Nothobranchius furzeri: one gene and its partner. The protein of the gene in region 1 purifies or fractionates together with the protein of each later gene. This does not show direct contact. Links are inferred from orthologs where the notes say so. Each region holds a gene or a part of one and is shown on either strand. Other genes may lie near its edges. The genes, in order: nkx2.1 and foxa1.

Region 1 (8,946 bases):
CTGCTGGATGATACACTGACCACTTTCCACGCTCGACTACTTTCTTCTACAATTTGCTCTTTAACTGTATTATTTCCTGCTATTTCAGATGTTAACTTTATTTTTTCTCCAAGTGTTTTTCTCCCCAGAAGAAGCTACAGTGATGTTCTGCTGAGCTGTGGTGGCCTCATGGAGAGGGCCATTGGCTTGAACACTGTTGCTAACCACTTAAACATTCTCCCTCTCCTGATAATGACATTTTACTTTCTTTGACATTGAATGTGCTACTACTAGTTTACCCTTTAATTATAGATTCACTAGGATAAATACAATAAAGTTTATCTCTCACCAAATAGAATATTTACTAAGAAATCACAATGTAGCCATAGAAACACTAATTGGTATGTGTGTGTGTGTGTGTGTGTGTGTGTGTGTGTGTGCGCGTGTGTGTGTGTGTGTGTGTGTGTGTGTGTGTGTGTGTGTGTGTGTGTGTGTGTGTGTGTGTGTGTGTGTGTCTGCTCTGTCTTCTCGATCCCCAGTGAGTCGTGGTGGATGGCTGCTTATACTGAGCCAGGATCCTCTGGAGGTTCCTTCCTGTTAAAAGGGAGTTTTCCTCTCCACAGTCACCAAATGCTTGCTTAGGATGAGAATTGCTGTGACTTTACTGAAATTTGCTGGGTTCCTTATATAGGAAACTTTTTACTGATTGGCTTAATGAACTGACCTGTATTGGAATGTGTACTGTGTGATGGGCTTTGAGACAACTCTTGTCAGGATTTGGCGATATATAAATAAACTGAATTGAATTCAATTGATAACTCATACACATATCTATTTTTATTACAATCAAATGTTAATTGAACACACTTAAAAATGGACTTTGAGGAGTTTAATGTGCCAGACCTTCTGTTTAGTGTTGCTGGAGTTGGAATCAACAAGACTCCAAAGTCTGGGTAGAGCCCCAATGTGTCCTGATATCACCTCTACAAATAGCCCACAGGTAACTACAACATGCGCATTTGTTAGCATATTTATAACGTTATTATTATCATTTGAGTAAATGTATAGCATAGGAATAAGATATTACATTTTCTTAAATGTCTCAGTTGTTATTTAGTGTCACGTGTCTCTGGGTATTTTTGTGGCTCAGGATCTCTGCTCTCCACTAGATGGCGGAACAACACTCTGTATCACCATGGAGAACCTCTGATTCTCCTCATGACCCAGGTGGAGGGAGTTTCTGCTCCACAAGAGGCCGTGCTCCCCTGGAGGAATAAATTAAGTTTAAAAAAACTCTTCTATAGCTGCAAAAATTGCCTGGCAACGTCACGTGACGTAAAGCTTCCTGACGCTAAATCCTCGTGTTTAAGTGATGAAGACGTCCACATGCTGGGTTAAAAACCTCATGATTGGTTGTTCAGGGGGACAGATTTGGTGCTAACTGGTTCTGAAACTTGTACACAAAAAATGAGTTATTGTCCTCATGTTTTATTTTGATATTTTTATCGTTATTGTAAAAATCGTTATTGTTTTTTTTAGAAGGGAGATTTTTCTGTGTGAATATGATTTAAGACTTGGAGCTTAATTGGTGGGAAATTTAAGATACTTTATCCAAATTTTGTAAAAAAAATTTATTTGTGAGATGAACATCTAAACCTTTTGGACCACCACCACCAACAACAACAACAACAAAATCAATAATAATAATAATAATAATAATAATAATAATAATAATAATAATAATGATGATGATGATGATGATGATGATGAACTGTGTTTGACATTAGGCTCAGAAATCCACATTTTGTATTTTAACATATGAATTATTTCTTTTTATTTTTAAGTTAAGAGCGTCACCCTGACAACCTGACAATAAAAAGATCAAAACATTTTCGTGAATGACATCAAACTTTTATTTATGTAATAATCTGCTGTATTTTATTGGCAGTAATCTCTCCGGGAACGGTTTAGACTCCTGAAAACAGCCTCCCGGTCTAATTGTTCCCGCTTCCGGTGAATTAGATCATGCACCAATCAGTTCCCGAAACCATGCAGCCTGGATCACCGCAGCTCGATTGTTTCATTCCCGCCTCTGTCTTAGTGTTCTCATTATTCTGAGGAATTAGCCGCAACATTTGGACTAATTGGCGCTAATTGGTCCTAATAAGTGTGCGTCGGAGCGGAGGGAAAGGCGCTGATTTAGATGATTAAGGATGTCTTGCTGGATTCTCTAATTAAGGAATGCATATGCGAGATTTAGCTGTGTTTTATTTGCCTTATGTTGTGATGTGCCCTATACAGATGCTCTGATTGTAACAATGCGTTATCTCATCCGTATGATGATGATGACGATGATGATGATTAAGATGCTTCATTAAAGACGCGTTTGGATGACGAAGATGAGAATTGTTGTGATACTTTATTTATGAACATGCCGTCTTTCCAAGGGACAAACTCACTGATCTGCATACTCACAATACCAGATCCCAGTGTGCAGCGCATGCTCGAATAAATCAAAGTTAAGAACCAGCAGTCAAGCAGACCCTGTGTCACTGCTGAGAACTGCTGCCACCAGAAGATTCTGTGATCTCTAACCTGCAACCACAGACCCTGAAAGAGTTTTAAAACCCCAAATATTCTGTTATTGCTTATATTATTATTTCAGTCTCAACGAGTTCATTACTGCCTCAATTCTGTAACTCCTCCGTTTTGTTGTGCCTTCGGATTTTCAATTCTATTCTATTCTATTCTATTCTATTCTATTCTATTCTATTCAGGTCGTGTCGGTTTAAAGTCGTCGCGTGTTTTCTCACAAGCTTTTCATAAACTATTTGAGTCCTTCTGCCTTCAACAATTTACTGAAAAAATAAAAAAGAGCTTGCAACCCATTATTACTATTATTATTATTATTATTATTATTATTATTATTATTATTATTATTATTATTATTATTATTATTATTATTATTATTATTATTATTATTATGATAAAATAGTAATAATAATAATCGCTGCCTTGAATTTTTTTAAATATTTTTTTTAAATTACAAGTGGGCTAATAATAAACATTAGGGTGACCTTAAGGTTTAGGGTACTTTGCTCCCTAAATAATACTTCCGCATTATAAATAATAATAATAATTTAATAATAATAATAATAATAATAATAATAATAAAGTAAGTTCTTCTGCAGCATTAAGACCCTTTCTCAGGGCTACCTGGCCTCGTGCTCCAGGAGAGGAGCTACTTGAACATCGTTAACTTCACACGAGAGCCTCTCCTGCACCAGACTCGTTTCCCCCTCCTACCTCTTTTCTAGAGCACATCTGAATTTTAGGTAGCATCTCGTCCACTGACATCAAGAAGGAAAATGAAAAGAAAGCAGGGGGGTTAATCATTTACGCAGCACTTAACACGCAGATGTGTATTTATTTACTTATCAGTATCAGTCATTTTCCCTCCCCGCAAGTGCACTTTTGCATGTCTGAGTACGATAAGGCATAACACAAACAATCCTGCAATCACTGGAGGCCTCTCGTGGCCATTAAAAGTCAGTAGTTCAGCTGAGAAGTGGTTCTCCAACTCTCAAGTCCATATAGGCCTCCTTTTCTTCAAGAGGCCCTCGTAAACATCACTACAGTTAATAAAGTGTATTGTGGTCACTGCAGTCCCGAGGTGCAGCGACAAGTCACAAACTCGGCATGCAGCTTCCGCATCAGTCGGGATGAGCATCGGTGTTGGTGGGAGGGGAGGAGAGCACATGTCTACTATAGTGAAATTACGCTCAGAAAAAAAGAAGAAAAAAAGCAGAGTAGAGCTGTTTTGTATTGTTGCTGATGCCCCGCCTCTGATGGTAGCATTAAACCTGGCACCCGGCTAAAACAAACCAAAGCCAGCACCGAGCTCCCACTCAATCCAATTAAGGCGGACTTGAGGCGCTCTCCTACGTCTTCATCTACCAGGATCGACGTTGAGACAACAGGAACCAGAGGGGCTTTGGCCAAAAAAAAAAAAAAAAAAAAAAAGGGAGAGAGAAGGAGAGATTGCCTTGCCTTCTAATTTCTCCCTCTCCAGCCACAGAACAATGTCGATGAGCCCTAAGCATACGACTCCTTTTTCTGTTTCCGATATCTTGAGTCCCCTTGAGGAGAGCTATAAGAAAGTAAGTATGGAGAATAACAACTTGGGGGCACCTCTCACTTCTTACCGACAGCCGCAGGTCTCTCAGGCGGCGATGCAGCAGCACCACATGGGCCACAACGGGACTGTGTCTGCGGCTTATCACATGACGGCGGCAGGTGTCTCCCAGCTGTCACACACGGCCATGGGCGGCTACTGTAACGGCAACCTGGGCAACATGGGCGACCTGCCGGCGTACCAGGACGGCATGAGGAGCAGCGCCACGGCCACCGGCTGGTACGGAGCCAACCCAGATCCGCGCTTCTCCACCAGTGAGTATCCGGTACCGGTATTTGGACCCTATGCGCTTCAGATCTGTGCGTAATGACCAGAATCCAGATGTGTGCGCCCTGGCTGTGTTTTATTGGAACTATTTCAGGTCTGCTTGTGCGTAAAAACCAGTGTAATTTAGATCCCGGTGCGTTTCACTTATTATAAATCCCAAGGTCTGGGTCAGATTTAAGTCTGAGCGTCAATGGAAGTTATTTAAAATGATTTTTTTTATTATTATTATTTTTACCATTTTCAAACATTAAACATGATGGGAGGTTATTAGGTCTAACAAATACGCACCTCCCTAAATAACACTTAAGTTTTTGTAATGATGTTCCAAATTATGTTAATGTGAAGTAAACTTGTAATGATTTTACGCAGTAGCTGGTCCATATTTGCTGTGAATAAATCTGAGTTTGATTTCCATTCTGATATTTTCCCCAGTTTCTCGCTTCATGGGCTCATCGTCGGGCATGAACATGGGAAGTATGGGCAGCCTCAGCTCCCTGGCGGACGTGGGTAAAGGCATGGGCTCCCTGTCTAGCACCCCGAGAAGGAAACGGCGCGTGCTCTTCTCCCAGGCGCAGGTGTACGAGCTGGAGCGGCGCTTCAAGCAGCAAAAATACCTGTCGGCGCCGGAGAGGGAGCACCTGGCGAGCATGATCCACCTCACGCCGACCCAGGTGAAAATCTGGTTCCAGAACCATCGCTACAAGATGAAGAGACAGGCTAAAGACAAAGTGTCCCAGCAGCAGATGCAGCAGGACAGCGGCTCGTGCCAGCAGCAGCAGCAGCAGCAGCAGCAGCAGCAGCAGCAGTCCCCACGGAGGGTGGCCGTGCCGGTGCTGGTGAAGGACGGGAAGCCGTGCCAAGGCAGCGGCCACACGCCCACGTCCACAGCGCAAACGCACCACCAGCAGGGAGGCAATGTCATGATCATGTCCAACAACGCCTCCGGCCTCGGGCAGCACCAGAACCAGCAAGTAGGGAGCACGGGTCACTCCCCTGACATGGCACAGCACTCTTCCAGTCCGCCGTCCCTACAGAGTCAGGTGGCCGGCCTCTCCCACCTCAACTCCCCCGGAGCGGAGTACGGTTCGGCCCTGCAGTGTTCGGCCCTGTTGTACGGCAGGACGTGGTGACAAGAGGAGCTCATTTGAATCCAATCTATTTATCTGATAAAACTCGGCAGGTTTTTATTGTAAATGCGCGCGAGTGAACTTAAAAGCCCGAGAGACTTCGGCCCTTTCGAAAGGGGGGAAAAAACTCATTTATCTCCCAAAAACTGCGGATTTATTGGGATTATTTATGTAAATTATATTGAGTCAAAAGAAGATTCAGTAGTCAGATAGCTGGGAACCCGAACCTGAGCAGGGACGCACGAACACGACCGGACTGAAAGGTGCTGTGAAACCCAGACGAACAGGATTTATTAGAATCAGTGTGAGCTGTAGGTCTAGCGTGTATATTTCTGTAAAAGGTTGGAGTTCTAGCTCTTTGTTGTACAAAGCTTTTGACAATATTGCTGGTTTGTTGTCGTTTTATTGGTATTTGTACGTTTTATTTCTTTGTAACTTATATAGATATTTGACTTACTACAAAACAGTCCTATTAATAAATTATGGAAACAAGACATTTAAACTTTTTTGTGAAGTATATCCAGAAATGCGCCTGTGACGCAGTTACTAATAATTATTTTGAGGAAGAAACGTATTATTATTATTATTATTATTATTATTATTATTATTATTATTATTATTATTATCATTATTGATGTGGACATGTTTTGTTTTCGTTACAAGAACACATATGAAAGCATAACCGCTGGGATAAACATTAACTTTATCCTTTTCTTTGCTCCTCGCTGATAAATCACCGCTCAGGCTCGCGCCGCGGCTCTAACCTGCCCTGCAGAGCAAACTCGACCTTTATGCGCTTTTATTTACCCTCTGTGTGTTTTCTCCCGCGTGGGTGAGGCAGAAAGGTGAGGTTCCTCCGCGCTTGACATCAAACACCAACGCGGCTCAAAGGGCGGCTTATCGATGACCAAACAGCGCACAATTCCTCTGAAAGGACGCGCGCGGCAGTCAGCGGCTTCATCAATAACCGATTAAATGTGAGGATTTAAAAAACGGCCAATTTAATAATCTGAATGAAAACTGTTTAAATAATATTTAAATGTATTTTATTCTGGTAAATTTGAGGCTATCATTTGTTCCATTTCAGGTTTGGTAAGCAGCGACAGCCTTAAACAAACATTAGACACTATTCTCCTGACATGCGATGGAGTTAGGCATTACATTTTCTAAATAGTAAACAATCAGGTTGCTAAGCAACGGAGTTGTGGACAGGTGATTTTCTTTAGAGAGCGAAAAAGCTGGGGTGGAGAAGATAAAAACACGCAAAAAGAAGTCGCTCAGCTAGAGGAGGATGTTCTATCTCTGTACACACACGGAAGTGTTTTTTTTTTCTTTTATTTTGAAACATCGTTCTTCAAATAAACGCGTTCTCCAGTTCGGATAATTTTTCAACATTTCTATTTGAAATGGTTTTTATTAATGTTTTACTAAAATGAAGACGTTTGAGAAGTTCGTTACTATTTTGTTATTACTTCATAATAATACCCCCACCCCCAAAAAACCCCCAGAAAAAAACACACAAATATTCAATTTTGTCTTCTCAAAGTAATTTTTTTTCCGTCTTTTATTATCCGTTAATTATCGTCGACTGCACCTGACTAAATAATGATCTTTCCTCAGGCTCGTTAGGGTAAATGTTTATTATCTCCTCCGTTTCCTTTCACATCCAGTTATTTTTTATCTTTTTTTGCCAAAGTAATCAGTCATTAATGACAGACTAAATGCTACAGGGTTCAGAGCTGAATAAGACTTTATTTTTTTGATTGACACATTAAAATCACGTCTTCTGCTTTTGCGCAGGTTTTCCATAAAGCGAAATAAACAATAACCCAGAGGGTTTTCACCCATGCAGTAAAACTCTGAAAATGTAAACTTTTATTTTAAAATCGTGAATCCAAACTTTCGTTGGTTGAGCTCTTCCTCTGCACACACAGACCGAGGCCACAGGAGAAAAAAGCTTTAAGTGAAATCTTAAACAAGCATCAGAAACAACCTTCTATTAGCTATTTTGCAGCGCGGGTTTTGTTCGGCGGAGGAGTGAGAACTTTGGGATTACATTAACATGTCTTTGGCGCGGTGTGTGGTCTTTGTGCGCTGCTTGTTGGAAGCGTGTGTGCTCTCATCGCTCTCCTTTGTAGGAAACCACAGCGCAGCTCCCAGAGTCCTCCTGGCTTTATGGCGGGCTGTCTCCATCAACCCCAAGCAATTAGTCTCTAATCTCAAGGTAATCATATTGGAGTTAGTGACGAGCTGGAGAATTTTATTCGCCTCTTTAGCTCCGGGAATCCCCTGAGTCGCCGAGGAGTGAAGCCTTGTTACGACAGGATTTTGAAGTTTGAGCGGATATTAAATATGAGGAGAGCTAACGAGCAGGATAAACGCAAACAGTAAAACACGATCAGGCTTAAAAAAATAAAATGTTCTTGTTTTTATTCCTTCTTCGAAATAAACTCTCGACTTATTCTAATTCGACTTACTGAATATTACTCAAATTTAACTGGGATCTGCATCTTATTGATCTAAAAGTCCTCCATCGGTCCTAATAAATCCCAAATATCAGACTCGCAACCAAATAAAACGTTATTCTACCTGTGTGTAGTTGGGCACCATCACATTAAGTTCACATTGAATAATAACAAAAAAAGAAAATTAAAAAGTCACAAAGTCCATCATTTGTTCCTTGTCACACCTAAAAGTAAAGCACGAGCCTGTGTTTGTGGGGTAGGGGAGCTGTCCATGGTGCTGAAAACCCAGTCACTGCTCTCTCCTGTTAAACTACGCGCACGCGCCTGTTTTGTTGCAACAATTTCCTTTTAACTTTGTTTCGGTGTTATAAAATGATACCCTTCCTTTCTTTTTTGTAAACAAATCCACCTTCTGCCACTTTTTAAAAGTTCCTAAACATTTCATCTCCACAGACCTGCATTTCAAATAGGACTATTACACCGCGAACGCAATCACCCCTTTGGTGAATGTTATTGTGCGCCTGCAACAAAAATCTTTAATTGTCCTGCGTTTATCTGCTTCTTCAAACCATTGTGCAAAGAGTACAAACGAGGGTCATTTGTGAACTGAAATACTTTGCATGCAAAGCGAAGCACAAGATGCTGTAACACTTGACCTTTCAGCATAATTGTTGCAGGCATGAAATGCTGCATTCAGGGCTCACTGAGTGGATACGTTTCTCCCTCCCTCCCCCTTAGGAACAAAGTGCATTTTTACATCTTCGGTGTTGGTTTGGCTTTGTTTCTTCTGAAGAAACATTTCTCTATGGGACTGGCTGTAATTTCGCTTCATTTTGCTCGGCTCCAATTACGGGATTTTTCAGTCCAACACTTAACAGCCGTCACGTTCAGCCTCCAGAGCCAGATAAGTTAG
Region 2 (8,894 bases), about 4.8 Mb from region 1:
CGGTGCTTCTGGGTTTGGTCTGTGATGCGCTGGTTCTGGTTCTGTAGGGGTTCTGAATGTGTTGGGCTGAGCCACTTCCTCGTGCAGTCAGCAGATTTTTTATTGACTAAATAAAATGTATTTTTTGTTTTTCTTTCACTTTTTTAGTTTTAGAATTTCTTTTTTATCAAAGCTGTTTTACTGATTTTGACTCATTTAAATAAATGTTCTGGGTTGATTAAATTAGGAATAATTGGTTAATTAGAACTTTCTCGGGGTTAAACAGAACCAACGTTATTATGTGTGTTTTATATTTTCTCTCCCAGCAGCTGAACTTTAACTTTGAAGACACGATCAGAGATTCAAAAGTGTGTGTGTGTGTGTGTGTGGGGGGGGGGGGGGGGGGTCCAGCGATGGGATTGTCAAACTGGGGGTCATGACCCTTCAAGAGGTCAGCTGGGAGACAGACGAGGTCGTGGGAGATTTAGATCCTCGTCTTCCTGATGATTCTGTGATCCATCCCTGTAAACGTTTCCAGGACAACATCATCAGGTAAACAAACCTGACCGGGACAGAACCAGTTCTGGGTCAGGGTCAGAGATCTATAGTTCAGCTGGTCCGTTAAAGGTCCGATCACAGGATGAACCGGTTCTGCTGCCACCGACACATCCTGGATCTGGACCTGAAGCACTGACAGCAGAGCTGAGGGGACCTCTGATCTGGTCTCTATGGTCCAGTTCCTGGACCAAGTTCAGGTTCAAGGTTTTTACTTCAGGATCCAGAACTCAGATCTGCTGACAGAATCAAAACGTTCATCTCTGAACCCGACTTCAGACTCAGACCCAGGTCCAGGACCCTGATGCCAAACTGTCCTGACCAGATCAAGAAGAGGACCACAGAGTCCAGGTCAGACTGGTTGGGTCATCTGGTCCTCGTAGAAGAATCCAGACAAGAACCGCAGCATCAGCAGAGTTCTAAAACCAGGATTTCACCCGGGCATGACTGTTGGAGACAGAAAGACTTTACAGAACATACGAAAATGTTCTCCAGGGTTTGCTCTCATGAGTCTCAGGGTCTCACTGTCAAGAGGCTGGAATTTTGAACATATTCAATAGAGAATTTTCATATTCAAGACAAATTTTCTCTCACTGGGTCCAGCTCTGGGACCCATCTAGAACCTGTCTGGATCTGTCTCAGTTTGGTTTCCAGGAGTCAGAAAGCGTAGAAATGTGAAACGACTTTTGGAGGAGCTGGAGGACAGATGCTGAAAGAAACCGGACAAAATTCAGACACTTTCGGACAAATTTTCTGCTGAAAAATAACCCGATCGTTCTGTAACGAGATGATCAACGGAACCTGAGTCCAACAGGGACGCGTCTCCCAACAGTCATGGACCATGAGGTCTTGGTTTTAGGGGGACTCTGCTGTCAGGAATCGAATGTGACCTTTGACATTCCTTAAGACTGTTTACTTTTCCAGGATTCTAAATCCATTTCAGCAGTTTCTGTGTGTGAGGAGACCGCAGACCTGGGATCAGTGTTTATTGGCTCAGACTGAAACGTCAGCATGATAAAATGGTCACAGTGCAGGAGTCCCGTTCAGCTGCATGCAGAAGGTCTGGGCCGGGCAGCTACGACGAGCTGTTCAGCAGGGGTCTGGGATACATCCCCTGGTAGTACGAGGCCTCCAGCGTCTCCATGGTCCTCCCTGAGAGACCAGACATGCCCCCACTGCTGTAAGAAGAGTTCTGAAGGGCCTCGTAGGCCTTCAGGTCCAGTTTGTGCTGCTGCTCTGAGGACGACATGAGGTTGTTGATAGAAAACGGGTGGTTGAAGGAATAGTGGGGGTCTCCTTTGATGTGCAAAGGGGTCTCGTGGGCCAGGGAATGAGGGGGCAGGGACAATGAAGACAGTAACTGAGAGCTGGACACCTTCAGGTCTGAGACCCCTCCAACCCCCTCCCTGAGGTCCAGACCAGGGTGGGAGGACACTTGGCTGGAGGAGGCCACAGGAGAATCCAGAAGTCCACTGGGTTTGGTGGACTCCCCTGCATGAGAGGATCCCTGACCTCCACCAGAAACCATCTGGTCCTTCCTGACGTCTCCCTTCACCGACATCTTTTTCTCACACTTGAACCTCTTCTGCCGCCGCAGGTAGCAGCCGTTCTCAAACATGTTCCCAGAGTCGGGGTGCAGGGTCCAGTAGGAACCCTTCCCTGGTTTGTCCGGCGAGCGAGACACTTTGACAAAACAGTCGTTGAAGGAGAGCGAGTGTCGGATGGAGTTCTGCCAGCGCTGCTGGTTCTGCCGGTAGTATGGGAACAGGTCCATGATCCACTGGTAGATCTCACTCAGAGTCAGCATCTTACTGGGCGCCTGCTGGATCGCCATGGTGATGAGAGAAATGTAGGAGTAGGGCGGCTTGGCATGCGGGTAGCTCCTTCTGAACGTTTTCTGGTCCCGGGTCCGGTTCAGCCCACCTCCACTGAAGGCCATGCTGGAGCTCATGGTGGGACTCATGCCCCCATAGGGGTTCAGGCCCATGGAGGCCTGCTGAGCCGACACTGAGCCCACACCGGATGGACTCAAAGCCCCACCCATGGAAGCCATCCCGCCCCCCAGACTCGACATGGGTGCCGGAGCTGAGCCTCCTACCCCCCCTACTGAGGAAGGATTCAGACCAGTACCATTGTAGGACATGTTGAAGGAGCCAGATGTGGTCCCGTTGCTGGACATGTAGCCTGACATGGAAGCCATCCCGAGACCAGAACCCATCCCACTGCCTGCCATTGGAGAGTACACCTGCAACAAGACACAGCAGAGCTGGTGGGACCCAAGGAACAGAATCTGTCAGGGCTTATCAAGACCAGTCAGACACAGTAGAGGGTTAAAATGGTCTAGAACACACAGAACCAGATCAATCAGACAATTAAAATCACTTTAACCAGATCTGACCCATTTAAATCAGAACCATCTGAACATCCAGCATCAATCAGACAAGACTTAGTCTGAAATAAGTCGGAAGGTCCAGTGAGACCATAGCAGATCAAAGGTTTGTAAAAGCTCAAACCTGTTTGTTTATGGAGCTTTAAACATAAACTGCATTAGAACTAATCAGAAAGCTGTTTTCTGACTTCTCTTCTGCAGTCTCATTTTATCAAACTCCTCATGGATAAAAATAAATTCAGAACATTTTCAAAACGTGTTTAGAGTTCTGTTGGAAAATAAATAAAGTTTCATGATTAATGAGAAATATGTTGTTTTGGCCCTAGCCTGTGTTAAAATTTAATATAAAATATGTATATATATTTTTTTAATCAAAAACTTCAAATTAAATAATAATAATAATAATAATAATAATAATAATAATAATAATTAATACATAAATATTGTTCCTTTTTAAGCAGGTCACTGTTTTAAACTGATTAAATTTTATGTTTAATATTTTAATTAATGCTTTTACATCAGATCCGTTTTGTAACTGAATAAAGACATTTTTATATAATAAAAGTTTATTTAATTAATGGTTCATTATTAGTTTATTTTGATCATTTCAGAGCTTAAAGTAAAGTACATTTTTAAATCTCATTCAGGCTGAGGGCAACAATCAGCAGCTAATAAAAATAAAATTTCCAGGTGAAAAAATAAAACATGGAATAAATCATCCGAACCATCAGCAACATTTACTTTTTTGAAACTTTATAATTTTTTTCTCGTTTTCAGATTAATTTTATTCTGAAAACCCGAACAGCAGTTACTTGAATATCATTAAAAACAAACAGATTACATTATCATCAATAATCATAAATACTTTAGTGTTGTATATTTTAGCCACAGCAAACCCTGAAAAAACAAAAACAAACAATGTGAAAACAGGCCGTTTTTTACCAACAGAAAACACGTTTTGTTCACTGGTTTGATTTGTTTTTAATTGTTTTTGTTCCTCATAAATTTAGAGACAATTAAGGTTTAACCAGAGAATGTTTTTGGTTTAATTCGTTTTTATTTACTCGTTTTATCTGCCATGCTTTTTACCGTAAACTTGATGAAGCTACATGCTTTCTTCACTTTCCTTCACAAATCTGATTTAATAATTAAATCTCTAACTGATCTAACAAAAATCTTGGTGTTCAAACTCCGAACTTGTGATCTGGTTCTGGAACCAGGTTCGGTTTCGTGTTAAATTTACTTTAGAGGAGCTTTAGAAAATTTAACAAACTATTTCTGATCCTAACTCACTAATTGTGCTCGCGCAGGCACTTTTATTTTTACATTGCCTATTGTAATAAACCGTTTGTGTCAGACCGAACCGAGCCGGAACCGACCTCTTCGCTGTAGTATCCGCTCCAGTCCGGAGCTTCATGACCTTCCATCTTCACCGAGCCCAGCATCACGGTAGTCCTGGCCCGGAGCACGGATCCTGCTGACCCGCTTCGGTCCGACCGGTCCAGATGCGTCCCTGTTCAGGTGGAGGCGCGCGGGCAAGTGAGGGAGGAAGGGTGAGGAGGAGGAGGAGGAGGAGGAGATGATGATGGTGACCTGCGGTCTGAGGGTCTGATGTGATCCCTTTCCTCCAGGTCCAGCCCTCTGGACCCTCCCCCCCATCCACCCAAAACACACACACACACACACACACACACACACTCGCACGCACGCACGCGCACACACGCACACACACACTCGTGTTGCTGCTGTGTTGAAATCGAACCGAACCGAGCGGGTTCTGGATGTTTTGGAGATCAAACGAATGTGTAGAAATTAAAGATGTAAATCTAAAATATTTTCACTAAATCACCAAATTTCTGGAAATTGAAATTTTAAATAATTAAACAATAAAACTCTGATCCTGTGAAAGATCACGTCTGGAGCGTTTTGATTAAACTGACTAAGCCATCCATTTCACATTAACAACAAAAAAATAATAATAAGTGTGATTTACGTTTTCTTACACAAAATGTGTCTGACTGTCATGTTTTATTTTGAAGGAATAAACTAAATAAACCATAAATAATAAACCCAGAATATTAAAATCACTTCACAGACCCGATGGTCTGATTAAGATTAATCCTCTTTGTGAATAAAATCATTTTACAAACACTTAAACGAATAAAACTGACTTCCCATTTCAAAATAAAAGTTTGATAAGGATCAGACAAAAGACAGACAAAATTGATTATATCAGTCTGAATCTTTTGCATCTGAACATCAATTTTCTGTGTTTTCGACACAACCAAAGAATAATCTGGACAATAATGATGTGCAGAATAAGTTTAATTTAAATAAAATTTTAAAACATCAGTTTGGCGATAATATTCTTTAGTCAAAAATCAGGAGATAATTCAAAATGTCTGTTCTTTATTTATTATTAATAATAATAATAATACATTGTTCTTATTAGTTACAATAATAAAGGAAATAAAGGTCATTAGTTTGTTCTCTGAACTTTACATTATCCATTCATAATCTTTATTTTGTTTGATTTTCACGTTTTGTGACCTTAATGGTGTAACTGATGAGTTTGTGATCTGGTTTTCTGAGGACTGGTCCCAGTCTGGTGGTTTAAATCTGTTAATGAGGAAGTAACAGACTGGAACAACTGCTCACTGTTCACCATTATCTGACTGGATTAACTGGATGAGGCGCTGGATTATAGGACACTCACTAACGAAAGACTAAGAGGACACAAAGACCGAGGAGGGGGTTCGGGGGTTGGGGGGCAAATGAAGACTAGATTCCTCGATTCCTATTATTGTCATAACCAGAACAAAAGTTTGACTAACAAGAACCACCTCTGGAGGAAAACATTCAGCGTTTGAAAGGGGATCCAATTGTTTTTGGTTCTGATGGGGTCCACTGGTACCACAGATATGAAAAAATCCCTTCTATGAACTCAAAAAAGTTCTATTTACAGATCATATCGGGTTTGAGTGTTTCAGAAGATGTACGGTAACTCATTTGAGTTCTGGTCCTGGACCTGTGTCTAGAGAATCTATCTTTTGTAAACCAAGTCCAGATGGGTTTAGATCAGTTCAGTTCAGAGCTTTCACCCATATTGGTTTTAAGTCCACCACGGAAAATCACAGATGTCCTGAAGGACTCAGGTGTCTGAGAACCAAACCTGGTTGGATCTGAATCTGATCATGGTAGTTTGGATCTGGACCAATGGGCTCATCCTCTGCAGCACTTGTAGTCTTTAGACCAGAACTTGTGTAAGAACAAAGATCTGGATCCTGTCTGAGATTGATGTTCAGGTCAGTGCTGACTCACCTGTAGTCATGTTCTTCACCTGTAGAGTTAACATGTTCTTCACACACACACACACACACACACACACACACACACACACACACACACACACACACACACACACACACACACACACACACACACACACACACACGCACGCACGCACGCGCACGCACACACACACACACACACACACACACACACGCACACACGCACACACACACGCACACACACACGCACGCACGCGCACGCACACACACACACACACACACACACACACACACACACACACACACACACACACACACACACAGGAAGCCTAAGTCAGGCCCATCTACTTCCAGACCATGGGTCCACAGAAATAAGAAAATGTATTGCAAGTCAATGGGGCTGTTGAAGGTATCTTCACATCGCGTTTGATACGTGCCGTGGATTTCACGTATGATGTTCATGAATTTAAAACACATTTAGATGCCAAGATTTCCAACGGCGGCAAAAGTTATTTCAGGTTTTGTGTGAAAAGACACATCGGACTACAAATGCATCTCACCATGCTGACATCATCGACCAGCACAGAGAAGAAAATAGCTGTGAGTTTAGCGAGCTTTGAATCCTTCTTCCAGGATGACAGAAGGAGCAATAAACGTGGAAAAAACTGCTATAAATCTGGTCATGTGGTAAGTAGCAGTTACGCTAGGGGAGAAGAGATTACGCTGTGATGTCGTGTATGTGAAATCTCATTTGTAGTCATTTTAATCAGGAATTTTTACAAGCTAGCATATTTCAAAACACGAGGCAGACATAGTCAAAACACACACAATTATTTTCAGTTAAACTGAAGTACAACATATGTGTGATCCAGGGTGTAAAGCAAAGTGGAGTAGAAAGCAACTTTAATGGGAGCGCTAAGGTTCTGTCCATTTCTCCTTCAGGGCAGGCGATGACGTCAATGGGAGCTCTGAGCCCCCAGTTCCCAGGGCAAAAAGGCACCAGCCATAACACCCCTTCCCTTAAAAGAAAGAAAAAAATTAATACAAGAATCAACTCAAGGAATTTTTTTTCAAGCTCCATCCCACCAAATCTCAGCATTGCTGCTTCAAAGTCCTTCTAGCTAATTTTTGACAGCTTTGACTGACCTAACCTTGTCTTCATGTGGAAGATTAAACACAAAACCAGCGGAGTCGAGGAGTGGCGTGTATCTGAAGCCCCCCACCCCCACCCCCGCGCCACGGAGTGTTCCTGAGATGGCCACTTGTTTCTGTTAAATAGTGCCTTAGAAGCCCACATGAGCTGGGAACGTGTTGTGCATGACACTTAAAAAAACATATTCATCCATCCATTTATTAGTAGCCCCATTCACTTCCATTCCTGTTGTTGTTCTTCCGGAGACCCGTGAGCCAACCAGAAGAGGAGGAGACTGAGGCTTCCTACGTGGAGTTACAATGTTCTCCTCATGCATGTGCGGGTTTTCTCCCACAGACGAAAACCAGATAGTTCAGGCAGGTTCATTGGCGACTCTAAAAAAAGGGAGACCCAAGTGACTGTGTGACTGGTTGTGTGATGGACTGGAGGCCTGTCCAGGGTGTCCTCCACCCCTCACTTGGTGACTGCTGGAGTTCGACAGCTCCCTAATGGACATCCTAGTGGAGAAAAGCCGTTCAGAAGATAAGTGAGTGGGAGAAACATTTTGAAACAAATTATGATTTCTGCACTTCTCATGTAGAATCAATCAACCTAAGGGATGAGAACTGAAACATCCTCTGAAGTCAAAGAAGTCCAGGTCTCTTCATTAGAACCTCCTCAGGTCACCAGGATAACCAAACCTTCACCAGCAGCTTCTTTCCAAATATCTCTCAGAACCAGGTTCAGGTACATAAATGTGCTGATGTCGTCAGAACCCAAAGGTCCAACCACATGACATAAACACCTCACACCTCATGACATACCATACCAAGTTCATTTATAGAGAACAATCAAAACGGCACGACAGTTGACCAAAGTGCTGCACAAAAGGAACAAGGACACACCAACATAAAAAATGGCGGTACAGCAGCCATCAACGTGGATAGTGAAATGACTAAAACAGTGAATGAAACATGAAAATGTGTGAGCATAAGCAACAAGGGCAACAGCTCTAAAAAAGAAGAAGAATCCACAGTTTTCAGACCTAGTTCTGTGCGTAAGCAGGCTTCTTATAAGAGGCCCCCGTTCAGCAGCTCATCAAGCTCTGCTAAAGCCTGTTAATCACCTGCTGGATAGATTCAGGTTTGTTGAAGCACACGGACCTCCAGGGCCTGGATTGTGCACCACAGATGGCTGGCACTGTTTCATGCAGCAAGGAGGTCCCGGGTTCGAATCCTGTACCTGCATGGAGTTTGCATGTTCTCCCTGTGCTTATTGCGGGTTCTCTCCGGGTGTTCCGGCTTTCTCCCACACTCCCAAATTGTGACTGTTAGGTAGATTGGAATCTCTGAATTGTCCTTAGGAGTGATGTTGTGTGAGCATGGCTGTCCTGTGTGTCTCTGCAGTGGACTGGCAACCTGTTCAGGGTGTAAACCCCCCCCCCTCCCCCCCCCTATATTTGCCTGAAGAGGGCTGGAGATAGGCACCGGCACCCCACGATCCTGCATGAATGAGCGGGTATAGATAATGGATGGATGGTCCAAATGAT

What was found.
Region 2: the proteins of nkx2.1 (region 1) and foxa1 purify together in Homo sapiens (affinity purification with western blotting; 3 studies listed by BioGRID and IntAct, with this or other methods). This does not show direct contact. The link is inferred for Nothobranchius furzeri from reciprocal best matches to the Homo sapiens genes NKX2-1 and FOXA1.

What each region holds. Positions count from the first base shown.
Region 1 is NC_091758.1:21,179,835-21,188,780, reverse strand, and holds nkx2.1 (homeobox protein Nkx-2.1), read left to right. Parts: upstream 1-3,723; 5' UTR 3,724-4,061; coding exon 4,062-4,428; intron 4,429-4,873; coding exon 4,874-5,571; 3' UTR 5,572-6,062; downstream 6,063-8,946. UniProt on the Homo sapiens protein: Transcription factor that binds and activates the promoter of thyroid specific genes such as thyroglobulin, thyroperoxidase, and thyrotropin receptor. Crucial in the maintenance of the thyroid differentiation phenotype.
Region 2 is NC_091758.1:16,424,348-16,433,241, forward strand, and holds the start of foxa1 (hepatocyte nuclear factor 3-alpha), read right to left. Parts: upstream 4,517-8,894; 5' UTR 4,369-4,516; coding exon 4,303-4,368; intron 2,780-4,302; coding exon 1,610-2,779; 3' UTR 1-1,609. UniProt on the Homo sapiens protein: Transcription factor that is involved in embryonic development, establishment of tissue-specific gene expression and regulation of gene expression in differentiated tissues.